Stegostoma tigrinum: one gene and its partner. Each later gene encodes a partner of the first gene's protein in a complex. Links are inferred from orthologs where the notes say so. Each region holds a gene or a part of one and is shown on either strand. Other genes may lie near its edges.

The links.
Region 2: pigc (region 1) and pigp share a complex: the UniProt entries of both Homo sapiens proteins name them as parts of the glycosylphosphatidylinositol-N-acetylglucosaminyltransferase (GPI-GnT) complex. The link is inferred for Stegostoma tigrinum from reciprocal best matches to the Homo sapiens genes PIGC and PIGP.

The regions. Positions count from the first base shown.
Region 1 is NC_081387.1:9,166,608-9,174,516, forward strand, and holds the start of pigc (phosphatidylinositol N-acetylglucosaminyltransferase subunit C), read right to left. Parts: upstream 3,020-7,909; 5' UTR 2,970-3,019; coding exon 2,792-2,969; intron 30-2,791; coding exon 1-29. UniProt on the Homo sapiens protein: Part of the glycosylphosphatidylinositol-N-acetylglucosaminyltransferase (GPI-GnT) complex that catalyzes the transfer of N-acetylglucosamine from UDP-N-acetylglucosamine to phosphatidylinositol and participates in the first step of GPI biosynthesis.
Region 2 is NC_081365.1:19,225,265-19,232,953, reverse strand, and holds the start of pigp (phosphatidylinositol N-acetylglucosaminyltransferase subunit P), read right to left. Parts: upstream 3,017-7,689; 5' UTR 2,972-3,016; intron 1,598-2,971; coding exon of another isoform or gene 1,550-1,597; intron 64-1,549; exon of another isoform or gene 1-63. Other genes in the region: SH3 domain-binding glutamic acid-rich-like protein 3, read left to right, coding at 1,550-1,597. UniProt on the Homo sapiens protein: Part of the glycosylphosphatidylinositol-N-acetylglucosaminyltransferase (GPI-GnT) complex that catalyzes the transfer of N-acetylglucosamine from UDP-N-acetylglucosamine to phosphatidylinositol and participates in the first step of GPI biosynthesis.

The DNA.
Region 1 (7,909 bases):
CGTCCATACCTGGTACTGGCGCACATAAACTAGAACAGAAAACAGAACTTATGGTGACAAAATCATAGGAACATGGGACTTTGGGCCAAGAGTAGTACATTCACCCTTTTGAGTTTCCTAAGTCATTCTTTACTCAGAGTAGTAAGGGCGTGGAATGCCCAGCCTGCAACCGTAGTAGACTCGCCAACTTTAAGGGCATTTAAATGGTCATTGGATAAACATATGGATTATAATGGAATACTGTAGGTTAGATGGGCTTCTGATCGGTTTCACAGGTCGGTGCAACATCGAGGGACGATGGACCTGTACTGCGCTGTTATGTTCTATGTTCTACAAGATCAGGGCTGCTCTGATTGTGATCTAACTCCACTTTCCTGTCCACAATGCTACCCTTTCCACCTTCCTCCCAGTCCTCACCTCTTGTGAATCTAAACTCTATCTAACTTAGCCCGAAATAACGTCAACTCCTATACTCTGTTCTACAGCCTTCTGGACTCAATATTGAGTTCAACTATTTTAGGACTTGAGGCACCTTCTCCTCCGTCCTTACCACAAGCCCTGGACATGAGGCCTTGTTATCACATGGGCTACTATTACAAACAACCCATCATTGATAACTATTCGTCCTCCTAGGCTGATCATTATCTGCACTTACCTAATACCGTCAAAATTGGCCTTTCTCCAATTTAGAACTTTAACGCTTATGTGGTCTATCCATTTCCATCACTATTCTAAAATGAATAGAATTATGGTCACTGGAAGTCCCATTCTATTCTTTTTTCTTTATTCATTCATGGGGGTGAGGGTATTGCTGGCCAGGAAGCATTGATTTCCCATCCCTAATTACCCAGGGGGCAGTTATGAGCCAACCACATTGCTGTGGATCTGAAGTCACATGTAGGCCAGACAAAGTAAAGATGGCAGTTTCCTTCCCTGTAGGACATTAGTGAACCAGATGGGTTCTTCTGACAATCGACAATGGATTCATAGTCATCATTATTCTTAGATTCCCCTCCCCTTCCCCCTCATTCACCGAACCCCCTCCCCTTCCCCCTCCCTCACCGATCCCCCTCCCCCTCCCTAACCGATCTCCCCTACCCCCTCCGATCCCGCCTCCATTTCCCCCTCACCAAACCCCCCGCTCCCTCCCTCACCGATACCCCTCCCCCTCCGAACCCCCCTCCTCCTCAGATCACCCCTGTCCCTCCCACTCCGATCCCCCTCCACTTCCCCCTCTGATCCTAACACCTCCCTCACCGATCCCCCTCCCCCTCCCTCACCGATCCCCCCTCCCCCTCCCCCTCCCTCACCGATCCCCCCTCCCCCTCCCCCTCCCTCACCGATCCCCCCTCCCCCTCCGAACCCCCCCTCCCCCTCAGATCCCCCCTGTCCCTCCCACTCCGATGCCCCCTCCACTTTCCCCTCTGATCCTATCCCCTCCCTCCCCTTCCCCCACCGATCCCCCCTCCCCTTCCCCCTCCGACCCTACCCCCTCCCTCACCAATCCTCCCTCCGCTTCCCCTACGATACTCCTCCCCCTCAGATCCCCCCGTCCCTCCCACTCCGATGCCCCATCCACTTCCCCCTCCGATGCCCCATCCACTTCCCCCACCGATCCCCCCCTCCCCTTCCCCCTCCGATGCCCCATCCACTTCCCACACCGATCCCCCCCCTCCCCTTCCCCCTCCGATCCCCCCCTCCCCTTCCCCCTCCGATCACCCCCCTCCCCTTCCCTCTCCGACACCCCCCTCCCCTTCCCCCTCCGATCACCCCCCTCCCCTTCCCCCTCCGACACCCCCCTCCCCTTCCCCCTCCGACCCCCCCTCCCCTTCCCCCTCCGACCCCCCCCTCCCCTTCCCCCTCCGACCCCCCCCTCCCCTTCCCCCTCCGACCCCCCCCTCCCCTTCCCCCTCCGATACTCCTCCCCCTCAGATCCCCCCGTCCCTCCCACTCCGATGCCCCATCCACTTCCCCCTCCGATGCCCCATCCACTTCCCCCACCGATCCCCCCCTCCCCTTCCCCCTCCGATGCCCCATCCACTTCCCACACCGATCCCCCCCTCCCCTCCGACCCCCCCCTCCCCTTCCCCCTCCGATCCCCCCCTCCCCTTCCCCCTCCGACCCCCCCTTCCCCCTCCGACCCCCCCCTCCCCTTCCCCCTCCGACCCCCCCCTCCCCTTCCCCCTCCGACCCCCCCCTCCCCTTCCCCCTCCGACCCCCACCTCCCCTTCCCCCTCCGACCCCCCCCTCCCCTTCCCCCTCCGACCCCCCCCGACCCCCACCTCCCCTTCCCCCCCCGACCCCCCCCTCCCCTTCCCCCTCCGACCCCCCCCTCCCCTTCCCCCTCCGACCCCCCCCTCCCCTTCCCCCTCCGACCCCCCCCTCCCCTTCCCCCTCCGACCCCCCCCTCCCCTTCCCCCTCCGACCCCCCCTCCCCTTCCCACTCCGACCCCCCCCTCCCCTTCCCCCTCCGACCCCCCCCTCCCCTTCCCCCTCCGACCCCCCCCTCCCCTTCCCCCTCCGACCCCCCCCTCCCCTTCCCCCTCCGACCCCCCCCTCCCCTTCCCCCTCCGACCCCCCCTCCCCTTCCCCCTCCGACCCCCCCCTCCCCTTCCCCCTCCGACCCCCCCTCCCCTTCCCACTCCGACCCCCCCCTCCCCTTCCCACTCCGACCCCCCCCTCCCCTTCCCTCTCCGATCCCCCCCTCCCCTTCCCACTCCGATCCCCCCCTCCCCTTCCCACTCCGATCCCCCTCACCCTCCTCCCCCTCCCCCACCCCGCTCCCACTCACTATTTTTCCGCAGTTCCTCCAGGAAGCTGCTGTCGACGAAGTTATCGGGGAAAGGCTGCCTCTCGTACAGGACCTTCTTCCAGCGGCCAGGCCGAGGTCGGGACCGGGACCGGGTCCGGTTGTCCGAGGCCCTGCGGCCAGAGGCAGCGGCCTCCACCGGCTCCAGGTCCGCCCTCATCCAGAGACAGAGTCAGAGTCCGGGCTGCTGGCAGCCGGTGGGGGCGGGGAGGGCCCGGGCCGGAAGTGAGCGGCCGTCTCCATGGAAACCACCTGGCGTCCGCCGGAAGTATGTACGCTTTTTTCCCCATCGGGGGCTATTCAAGTTAAAATGACAGGTTCAGCGCAAGCGTACTTCCGATATAAAATTAACTGGTTTATTTTTAAGCTGTTCGAAAGCTGACAGGGGGTCAAGGAATTGGCGGTGGTTGAGGTCACGTCCGCCATCTTTGACACTGGCGGATTTGGTCTCGGCGGGCGCCATCTTTAATATTGGCGGGTTTCTTGACATCGTGATCACCATCTTTGATGCTGGCTGATTTTTGGTGCCGTCAACGCCATCGATGCTGGCACTCCCGTTGGTCGTCTTTTTGTCCGCCATCTTTGATGCTGGCATATCACCTTTGAGAACAGAGGCGCCTAATATCCTTGCTGTTGCCCAGACACAGAGTGGGTTCACCCCATCATCTGTATCTTCGAGTACAACGTGCCCTAACCAGCACCAGCACTCGGTGATGTGCTCTTCTTTTACCTCAGCGAAGCCAATCTCCTCCCCTCCACCTGCTAGGGTTGCTGAGAGCCCCTAAATGGAGCCCAGTTCATTTCCCTCACTTTTCACTGTCACTCACCCCACCCACTCCCAACAAGGCGATTACTGAATATATTCAAGAAAGATATTAGGATTCAAAGGAGAATCAAGATGTAAGGGGAGAATCGATGATGTGACACTGCGTTAGACTATGGGTCTTGATTGCCTTGAATGCTGGACCAGGCTCATCCCTCGCTCCCTGGTACCGTGAGGCAGCAAGTGACTCCTGTGCTACCCTATTCAGCCCATTCAGTTGTTCCAGTTCTTTGGTGGAACAACTGAAGTTCTGCTAAATTTCAGGCCCATAATTTATCCATGACTTAACAGAGAATTCCCACACTCAGCAAAATTCAACCATGGTCCATTAGCTCCCACTACCAAGTAATTCTCTTTCACTTAGCCCTTGCATCCTCAAAAAGGAATGCTATATTTCTGTGCTATTGGTTTACATTTATCAGCAGTGAAAACTCACACCCATCTCTGTTGCCACGCTGTTTGGCGAGTTTGCTGATGTTACGAACGTTCTGCTTATTCTGAGTTCTGAATGTCTTTAATTGGCATCACATGCACTTTGCGATAATGACCTTTGACATGACCGAATGTAGCATTAAGATGCACAAGGTAGAAAACTCTGCACTGGTTGGAGCCATAACCTGGCACATGGGAAGTGGTTGTGTGTTGGAGATGAATCATACTAGCTCCAGGCATCTCTGCAACAGTTCATCAGGTAAGTGTTCTAGGTCAAACCATCTTAAGTGACAGAAGGGTCCAGACCTGAAACGTCAGCTTTCCTGCTCCTGTGATGCTGCCTGGCCTGCTGTGTTTATCCAACCATCTTCAGCTGTTTCATCAATGACATTCCCTGCATCATGCAGTCAGAAATGGGAATGCTTGCCGATAATTGCACAGTGTTCAGCGCCATTTGCCACTTCTCAAATACTGAAGTAGTCCATGTGCAAGCACAGAAAAATGTGGACAATATCCAGGTTTGAGCTGACAAGTGGCCAGTAATATTTGCATGATAGAAGTGTGAGGCAATGACCATCTCAAACAAGACAGACTTTAACCATTTTCCATTGACATTGAAAGATTTGGGTGCCCCCTCAACGAACTTTAGGAGCTAACACGGTGGCTCAGTGGTTAGCACTGCTGCCTCACAGCGCCAGGGACCCGGGTTCAATTCCACCGTCGTGCGACTGTCTGTGTGGAGTTTGCACATTCTCCTCGTGTCTGTGTGTTTCCTCTGGGTGCTCCGGTTTCCTCCCACAGTCCAAAGATGTACAGGTTAGGGTGGATTGGCCATGCTAAATTACCACAGTGTTCAGGGATGTGTAGGTTATGTGGGTTATGAGGGATGGGTCTGAGGGCCAGTGTGGGCTTGTTGGGCTGAAGGGCCTGTTTCCACACTGTAGGGATTCTATGATGCAGGTGAGGAGGTTACGTTGTTGGCCTCACCTTTACAGTTGGAGACGTTGAAAGTCTGGGGCCCTCTGCCACGTCTCTCGCTCCATCGCGGCATCTGGCGTCTGAGCACAATGATTCAATTGCTGAATGTGCAAGATCACAAGCCACCAACTGCAAGGAAGTGTCCACTCATGTAGCTCCACCAATGTTGGTGAGGCCATCAACTTCGGCAATGAGGGTGTGGGACATAGAACATAGAACAATACAGTGCAGAACAGGCCCTTCGGCCCTCGATGTTGCGCCGACCTGTGAGCTAATCTAAGCACCTCCCCCTACACAATTCCATCATCATCCATATGCTTATCTAAGGACTGTTTAAAATGCCCCTAATGTGGCTGAGTTCACTACATTGGCAGGCAGGGCGTTCCACACCCTTACCACTCTCTGAGTAAAGAACCTGCCTCTGATATCTGTCTTAAATCTATCACCCCTCAATTTGTAGCTATGCCCCCTTGTACAAGCTGACGTCATCATCCTTGGAAAAAGACTCTCAATGTCCATCCTATTTAATTCCCTGATCATCTTGTATGTCCCTATTAAATCCCCTCTTAGCCTCCTTCTCTTCAATGAGAACAGACCCAAGTCCCTCAGCCTTTCTTCATAAGGCCTTCGTTCCAAACCAGGCAACATCCAGGTAAATCTCCTCTGCACCTTTTCCAATGCTTCCACATCCTTCCTGTAATGGAGCAACCCGAACTGTACGCAATTTTCTAAGTGAGGCCGCGCTAGCACTGTGTACAGTTGCAGCACGACATCACAGCTCCAGAACTCAATCCCTCTACCAATAAAACCTAAAACACCGTAAGCCTTCTTAACAGCACTATCAACCTGGGTGGCAACTTTCAGGGATCTATGTACATGGACATCAAGATCCCTCTGCACATCCACACTACCAAGAATCTTTCCATTGACCCAGTATTCTGCCTTCCTATTATTCTTCACAAAGTGAATCACCTCACATTTATCAGCATTGAATGCCATTTGCCACCTTTCAGCCCAATTCTGCAGTTTATCCAAGTCTCCCTGCAATCTGAAACATTCTTCCACACTGTCCACCACTCCACTGACTTCAGTGTCATCTGCAAACTTACTAACCCATCCACATATGCCTGCGTCCAAGTCATTTACAGAAATGACAAACAGCAGTGGTCCCAAAACAGATCCTTGAGGCACACCACTAGTAACCGGACACCAGGCTGAATATTTTCCAGCAACCACCACTCGTTGCCTTCTTATAGAAAACCAGTTTCTAATCCACACTGCTAACTCTCCCTCAATCCCATGCCTCTGTATTTTCTCCAATAGCCTACCATGTAGAACCTTATCAAAGGCTTTACTGAATTCCATTTACACCACGTCAACTGCCCTTCCCTCATCCACATGCTTGGTCACTGTCTCAAAAAAGTCACGGAGGTTTGTGAGACACGACCTGCCCTTGGCGAATCCATGTTGACAATCTCCAATCAAATTGTTGCTTGCTAGATGATTATAAATCCTAGCTCTTATAATCCTTTCCACAATTTTTCCTATAACAGACGTAAGGCTCACAGGTCTATAATTACCTGGGTCATCCCTACTGCCCTTCTTGAACAAGGGCACAACATTTGCAATCCTCCAGTCCTCTGGTACTAAACCTGTAGACAATGAGGACTCAAAGAACAAAGCCAAAGGCTCCGCCACCTCCTCCCTGGCTTCCCAAAGAATCCTCGGAAAAAATCCCATTGGGCCTAGGGTATTTATCTACCTTCACACCTTCTAGAATTGATAACACCTCCTCCTGACTAACCTCAATCCTTTCAATTCTAGTAGCCCGTAACTCAGTCTTCTCCTCTACAATATTCTCCTGTTCCTCAGTGAAAACAGATGAGAAATATCGTTTAGCGCCTCTCCGATCTCCACAGGGTCCACACACAACTTCCCACTTCTGTCTTTGACTGGCCCTATTGCTACCCAAGTCATCCTCTTATTCCTCACATACCTATAGAAAGCTTTAGGGTTCTCCTTTATTCTACTCGCTAATGTCTGCTCATGTCCCCTCCTTGCTCTACTTAACTGTCTCTTTAAATCCTTCCTAGCTAATATGTAACTCGCCATTGCCTCATCTGAACCATCTTGTCTCATTGTCACATAAGCCTCCCTCTTCCGCTTAACAAGAGACACAATTTCTTTAGTAAATCTCGGCTTCCTTACCTTATCACTTCCTCCCTGCCTGACAGGGACATACCCATCAAGGACACGCAATATCTGCTCCTTAAACCAGCTCCACATTTTGATTTTCCCCATTCCCTGCATTTTGCTACCCCATTCTATGCCTCCTAAGTCTTGCCTAATCGCATTATAATTGCCCTTCCCCTATCTATAACTGTTGCCCTGTGGCATGTTCCTATCCCTTTCCATTGCTAAAGTACACAACCGAATTATGGTCACTCTCTCCAAAGTGCTCACCTACCACTAAATCAAACACCTGGCCTGGTTCATTACCAAGCACCAGATCCAATGTGGCCTCCCCTCTTGTCGGCCCTGCGACATACCGTGTCAGGAAACCCTCCTGCACACATTGGACAAAAACTGATCCATCCGAAGTACTCGAGTTATCGCATTTCCAGTCAATGTTAGGGAAGTTAAAGTCTCCCATAATGACCACCCTGTTCCTTTCACTCCTGCCCAGAATAGCTTTGCCGATCCTCTCCTCCACATCCCTGGAACTTTGCGGAGGCCTATAAAAAAATCCCAGCAGTGTTACCTCTCCTCTCCTGTTTCTGACCTCAGCCCATACCACCTCAGTAGATGAGTCCTCATCAAAAGTTCTTTCGGCCACCGTTACACCACCCTTGACTAACAAAGTCACA
Region 2 (7,689 bases), on another chromosome or scaffold:
GCCCAAGTTTTCATGGAAGATGAAACTCATTGACAATTTGTAAAGGCCCATTTTGCTCCTGACCTGAAGAGTGAAGAGATAAAAGATTAGTTTATCTGGTTCAATCAAAGTTGTTGAAGAAAGAATGCTGGTCAGGACTCCAGAAATCTTGCTCATTAAGCAACCGTTTTTGTTTGGGGGGGGTGAAGCAGGTGATCGTTCTGCATGCACACAACAGACAGCTGGTGCTTCAGTATAATATCTTCACTGTAGAATGACACCCTCTGATTGTGGTGTTCTCTATCTGTGAGGTATTTAAATATCACATGCACAAAATCCAGAGCAAAACCTCAAACTTCAGCTTCAAAAGCTGGTACATGACTATGACAGTGATAATGGGAACTGCAGATGCTGGAGAATCCAAGATAACAAAGTGTGGAGCTGGATGAACACAGGAGGCCAAGCAGCTTTTGTGCTCCTGAGATGCTGCTTGGCCTGCAGTGTTCATCCAGCTCCACACTTTGTTACATGACTATGACAGAAAGGCAAGGAGCCAGAGGACCATCTCTATTCATGAAACTGTGCAGAATCAAACCATGCAGAAGAGACCCATCAGCCCATCAAGGCTGTACCGTCAGATAAACACTATTATCTACACTAATCCCACTTTCCTGTGCAAGGCCCATAACCTTAAATGTTATGACACTTCAAATGCTTATCCAAGCATTTTTAAAGATTGAGGTTTCCTGTCTCAACTACCCTCCCAGGAAATGCCTTCCAGAGCCCCACAACTCTCCGGGTTAAAACTATTTTCCTCAATTCCCGTCTAAATCTCGTGCCTTTCACTTTTAAAAAAAGCTTCTTTTTTTCCACTTTAAAACAGTCTCTCTTGGAAGCTAAAATTCTCCCTCAGTCATATCCTACCTATCCTGGTGATTAGAAGTGCACACAGTTCTTCAGTCTGTGACCTAGCCAAAGTTCTATACTGCTCCAACATGACCTCCTTGCTCTTACTATAGTTGCCTCTACTGGTAAAGGTAAGAGTCTGGTATGCTCTCTCAACCACCCCATTAACATGCCCTGCCAACTTCAGGGATCTGTGGACAAGTATCCCAAGATCCTTCTGTCTACCTGAGCTTCCTGCTCTTCTGCCATTCATTGAGTATTCATTCGCTGTGTTCCTTCCCCCCCAAGTGTACTTTTGATATCCAAATTACATCTCTCAGCCTCTGTAAAATTCCATACGTAATGCGCAATTTTTAGAATTATCAACTGCCATATTATTCCGATTCACACATTTGACTTTTAGGTGTGTTTCATAAAATGATTTAAAAATAAAGTTGTGCTCAATTCAAACAATCTGTGATATTGGTAGCCGTTTTCCAAAAGTAAGTTTTTTTAAAAAAACAATCGTATGTATGGGCAATATAGTCTGTCCTTAAAGCACATTCTCTTCGGTAGAACCTCGCAAATTCTGACGGTGAGGCAGCTTGTGTAACGGGCAGAGCCGAAGTTGGTGAGGTCGGGGTTTAGTGAAGAACAGTTGGCTTGTTTAACGCTGGGAGGAGGTATGTCCGGAGTCCAGCTGTACATCTCCAGTGTGTCAGCATCGAGAGAGGTAAATGTAGCACAGTGAACACGAACAGTCCGCCGGGGGCAGTATAACTCACTAACGTTTTCACCGAAGTATCACCTTCTTGCTAATTGTTAGAAACATGGCTTTTGATCACTGTTGACATTAACGAACTAGACTAACTAAATAACGAAACTAAATTACAGAAACTATAATTAGTTTATTCCAAGTATTTGGGTAAAGCTTCTGCCAGAATAAATATAAAATTATTCGGTGAGTTCCGTATCCCATTCAGGGGTGTATAAGATCAAATTTTTCCATTCTCATCAATTATGATTGCTTTTGAGACAGTATTAAATCTGATAAAAACGTTGCGAGGCTTCAGAAAGACATTAAAGAAAAGCATCAACCAAAATCGTGAGCCCTCCTATGCTCAGTCATTTGGCAGGAGTTGCCCAGGTCCAGTAGAACCTTCTCGAGTTTAAAACTAAACGAAGGCCCTGGGATCTCTCCCTAACGAAAGCGGGCCGTTTAACATTCACACTCTCTCAGTCCAGCACAACAACATAATCACTTCGAACTCTGGTGCACTGCAGAAATCCTTGTGTAAGTGAAACTGTGACAGTGACCCATCAAACTTAGAAATTCCCAGCTTGATCCCTGATGTAGGAGGCGAATTGATTTCAGCCCAATTGATCGTCAGTCAGTGGGGGATAACAAGGTGTAGAGCTGGAGGAACACAGCAGGCCAAGCAACATCAGAGGAGCAGGAAGGCTGATGTGTTGGGTCTGGACCCTTCAGAAATGGGGGAGGGCAAGAGGGCTCTGAAATAAATAAGGGGGAGTGGTGATAGAAGATGGATAGAGGAGCAGATAGATGGGAGATGGACAGGTCAAAGAGGTGGGGATGAGGGGGTCTGGTCTTTGGATGAGGTTGGGGGTAGTGAGATTTTGAAGCTAGTAAAGTCAACATTGAGACCATTGAGTTGTAGGGTCCCAAGGCAGAATATGAGGTGCTGTTCCTTCTGTTTCTGGGTGGCATCATTGTGACACTGGACTCCCACAGCTTCCTAGACTACACCTCCTCTCACCCATCTTCCTGCAAGAATGCGATCCCCTATTCCTAATTCCTCCAACTACACTGCATCTGCCCCCAAAATGAGACATCCCAGATATCCTCATTTTTCAAGGACCACAATTTCCCCCCAGTGGTTGAAAAAGCCCTCGACCGCATCTCTTGCGTTTCCCGCACCTCAGCCTTCACTCCCCCTCCCCGCGATAAAAACTAAGACAGAATTCCCCTTGTCCTCATGTATCGCCCCATTAACCTCTGGATTCAACGCATCATTCTCCACCACGTCCACCACCTGCAATTTGACCCCACGACCAAGGATATATTTCCCGCCCCAGCCTTATCTACCTTCCAGACGGACTGCGCTCTCTGCGACTCCCTCATCCGCTCCACACTCCCCGCTAACCCCACCACCCCCGGCACCAATCCCTGCAACCACAGGAAGTACTACACCCACTCCTACACCTCCCTCATCACGTCCATCCCAGGTCCCAAGAAAACTTTCCACATTAAACAGATCTTCACGAGCACGTCTGCTAACATGATTTATTGTAACCACTGTTCCCGATGTGGCCTCCCCTACATCTGAGAAACCAAGCAGAGGCTCGGAGTCTACTTTGTTCAGCACTTACGTTTGATTCGCGACAAACAACACCTCCCTGTCCGGAACCACTTCAACTCCCTCTTTCACTTCCCGGACAACATATCCATCCTGGGCCTCTCCTAGTGTCACAATGATGCCACCCGGAAACTGGAGGAACAGCACCTCATATTCCACCTTAGGACCCTATAACCCAATGGTCTCAATGTGGACTTTACGAGCTTCAAAATCTCCCCACCCCAACCTCATCCCAAGACCAGCCCCCTCCTCATCCCGGTCTCCTTGACCTGTCAGTCTTCCCTCCTAAGTATCCGCCCCCCCCTTCAGTGACCAACCCCCATCCCAACTTCCTCCCTCCACTCTCCTTTACTAGCTTCATTCCACATCCTTGACTTGTCCATCTTCTCTCCCACCTATCTGCCCCACTATCCACCTTCTATCACCGCCCCCCCCTCTCTATTTATTTTAGAGTCCCCTCCCCTCCTGCATTTCTGGAGAAGGGTCCAGACTCGAAACGTCAGCTTTCCTGCTCCTCTGATGCTGCCTGGCCTGCTGTATTTCTCCAGCTCCACATCTTATTATCTCAGCCTCCAGCATCAGAAATTCCTACTATCTCTGAGTCAGTAGGGAATTCTGGTTTCTGTCCAATGATTGAGAGCACTCTCCTGTATGACACAAAAGGTAACTATGAGCGCCATCTTCCCTGTGTCTCTTTTTGAAAGAACTATCCATTTTTCCCCACTCCTATCTCTTGTTATATAGTGCAGCAAAGCTTTCCGTTTTAGTTACAACTTCAATTTCAGCTCTAATTCCCTTTTTAAAAAGCTTTTTTTTACTGAACCTGCAATCTATGCAATTTGGTATGGCAGATGGGTTAAGAAGAAGCTAAGAGCCCATGGACAGAGGATCAGACAGATATTGGTGTGCACGTCCATAGATCCTTGAAGACAGAAGGTAGATAAGGTTAGGTCTGAAGGTACAGAACGGCGCTGAAAGCTTGTGTTTTCAAATAAACCTGTTGGACTATAACCCAATGTCATGTGATTTCTGACCTGATTTAGCTGTTCAAAGTATTGAGGAGTATAAATAGGATAGAGGGAAGAGAAAGAGAGTGAGAGAGACACGTCTCCCCTTAACCAAGGACCATAGTTTTAAGATCATAGGCCATAAAGACAGAAGGAGACCAAACAGCCCACAGAGTCTGGTCCACTATTCAAATGAGATCATGGCTGATCTGATAATCCTCAACTTCAGTTTCCTGCCTTTTCCTCATATCACGTGATTCCTTTATTGATTACAAATCTTAGTCTTAAATATTGTTAATGACCCAACCTCTATAGTTGTCCGTGGTAAAGAATTCCACAAATTCACTATCCTCGTAAGAAATTCTTCTTCATCTGTTTTAGAAGGGTGACTTCTTAATCCTGAAATTATGCCCTCTGGTCCCAGACATTCTGTTCAATAAGATCTTCTCTCATTCTACTAATTTCCAATGTATACTGGCCCAACCAACTCAACCTGCCCCAAAAGACAATCCTGCATATCTGGGATCAACATTCTAAGTCTTCTCTGCACTGTCTCCAATGCTAGTTTATCTTCCTTAGGTTAGGGATCAAAATTGTTCACAGTATTCCAGTTGTATTCTAATTAGTACCTTGTAGAGCTTTAGCAAGACCTCACTAGCTTTACACTCATTCCTTTGAAATAAAGGGCAACATTCTATTTGCCTTCCCAATCCCCTGCTGAACTTGGATGCTAGCTTTTTAAAACTTAAGCCCCCAAATCTCTCTATGATGTAACTTTCTATAGTCATTCTCTATTTGAATACACTTGCCAGAGTGCAGAACCTCACATTTTGCAACAACATATTCCATCTGTCTGGCAAGTTTTTGCCCATTCACTTAACTTGTCTATATCTCTCTGCAAACTCTTTGAGTCATCCTCACAGCTTGTGACCTCAGCACTGATTCCTGTGGTATTCCACTCAATACAGGTTACCACCCTGAAAATGACCCCCCTTATCCCAACTCTATACTTTATTAGTTAGCCAATCTTCTATCCATGCTAATACACCATCTCCAAAACCATGGGCTCTTGTTTGATTAAGTAGTAAGAAGCACGACATCTAGGAGGAGATTTGAGGGTCAGAGGATTGTGCTTGTGTGTAACTAATTGGCTAAAAAAAGGTGATGGAGGCCGGAACATTTAAAAAGTATCAAAATGAGCACTTGAAATGTAGCATGCATGGCTATGAGCTAAGTGCTCGAAAATGGGATGAGGCTAGTTGTTTGATGATTGGCGTGGGCATGATGCATTAAACGTCCACTAAGACTGAAAAATCCAGGTGGCAACAATTTTGCTGCATGATTTCCTCTCCCACCCCACCTACATATTACCTTTAATTCTTTTGTCATTTACAAATCTATAGCCTTGTTATCATTTGCAGTTTCTAAACTTTTGTTAATATTGAACAATCTGCTGTAAGAACAACTCCTCCAGGGCTCTTTGATGTTTTGCATAACTGACCTACTGATCCCAATAGCATTCCAGTAAATCCTCACTGTGTCTTCTAAGACCCACCATCCTTCCCAAGGCCTAATGCACAGAAGTGGCTACAGTTAGCTATCAGGTAACCTATTGTAAACAGGCTTGCGGTAACATCTTCGTTTTTGTGCTCTTTTGGTTAGAAATTAATCTCAGGCAGTTGCATAGAGTATTTGAGAAGCCACTTAAGTTATGCAGCGCATTGAATTTCTTTTCAGTTATTTCAATTTATTTATGGGATATTGGTGTCACCAGTTGGGCCTACATTTACTGCCCATCATCAATTGCCTAAGTGGTGGCAGTGGTGAGCTGCCTTCTTCAAACATTGCATCCTTAGTGTGTTACTACATCCACATTGCCATACAGGAGGTAGTTCCAAGATTTTGACCCAACAAACAAAGGAACTGCAATAGAATTCTAAGCCAGGATGGCACACAGCTTGAAGTGGAACAAAGATTCTGTATCAAAGATTAATTGTAAACAAGGTTGTAACCAGACCCTCTGCAATTTCCTCTCTTACTTTCCTCCTCCCATTGAGTCATAGAGGTCTACAGCACAGAAAAGGCCCTTCAGCTCATTGTTGTTTTTGACTGATGTAGACACTGTTATAATCCCCTTTTCCAGCATTTGGCCCATAGCCTTGTACACCTTGTCATCACAACTATACATCTAAATATGTCTAAAACGCTATGAGGATCTCTGCCTCTACCACCCTTTTTTGGGCAATGAATTCCAGATTTCCACCAACATCTGAGCGAAAAGGTTTCCTCACATCTTCTATAAACCTATTGCCCATTACCTTAAAATCATCCCCTCAGTCATTGATCCCTCTATCAATGAGGGAAGCTTTTCTCTGTCTATGCCCCTCATTAATTTACACATCTCAATATGTTACCCCACCCCCTCAGTCTCCTTGGCTCCATGGAAAACAATCCCAGTCTATCCCATCTCTCTTCCTAACTGAAACTCTCCAGCCTGAACAATATCCTGGTAAATCTCCTCCATATCCTCTCCCATGCAATCACATCTCAACAAGTTTGTCCATCTTATAATGCAGTGTTGAATCTTATGCAGTTACCCAGGTAGAGAGAAACCCAGCCAGCAATTTTGCTATCACTACATCTCAAACCCAGGTTAATTTCTGTACCATTCATCTGTCATTAGTAGCTACCACAAAAGGTGGACTTTCAAGTGGCATATTCCGAGAGCAAGTATGGTTGTGGGCACATACAGATGTGGTGATGGGGCATTGGAGGCAGTGGCTGTGGGATAATAATGGAAAACTTAATGTTTATCATTTTCCACTATCCTGAAAACACTCTTTGTCAACCAGATCAGTTTCACACATTATAATTTTGAACATATGATGGAGACATAATTTCACATGCACCCTGATAAAATTTAAACAGGAGTCATTTGCCTACATTGCCTTTGTACTTTTGTTTATCATACCTATTTGCTTGCTATTCCTACAATGGGTATTCTGTCAGGACTATTTGAACACATCACCATTTCAAAGGTGATAATGGGAACTGCAGATGCTGGAGAATCCAATATAATAAAATGTGAGGCTGGATGAACACAGCAGGCCCAGCAGCATCTCAGGAGTACAAAAGCTGGCGTTTCGGGCCTAGACCCTTCATCAGAGAGGGGGATGGGGTGAGGGTTCTGGAATAAATAGGGAGAGAGGGGGAGGCGGACTGAAGATGGAGAGAAAAGAAGATGGGTGGGGAGGAGAGTATAGGTGGGGAGGTAGGGAGGGGATAGGTCAGTCCAGGGAAGACGGACAGGTCAAGGAGGTGGGATGAGGTTAGTAAGTAGGAGATGGAGGTGCGGCTTGGGGTGGGAGGAAGGGATGGGTGAGAGGAAGAACAGGTTAGGGAGGCAGAGACTGGTTGGACTGGTTTTGGGATGCAGTGGG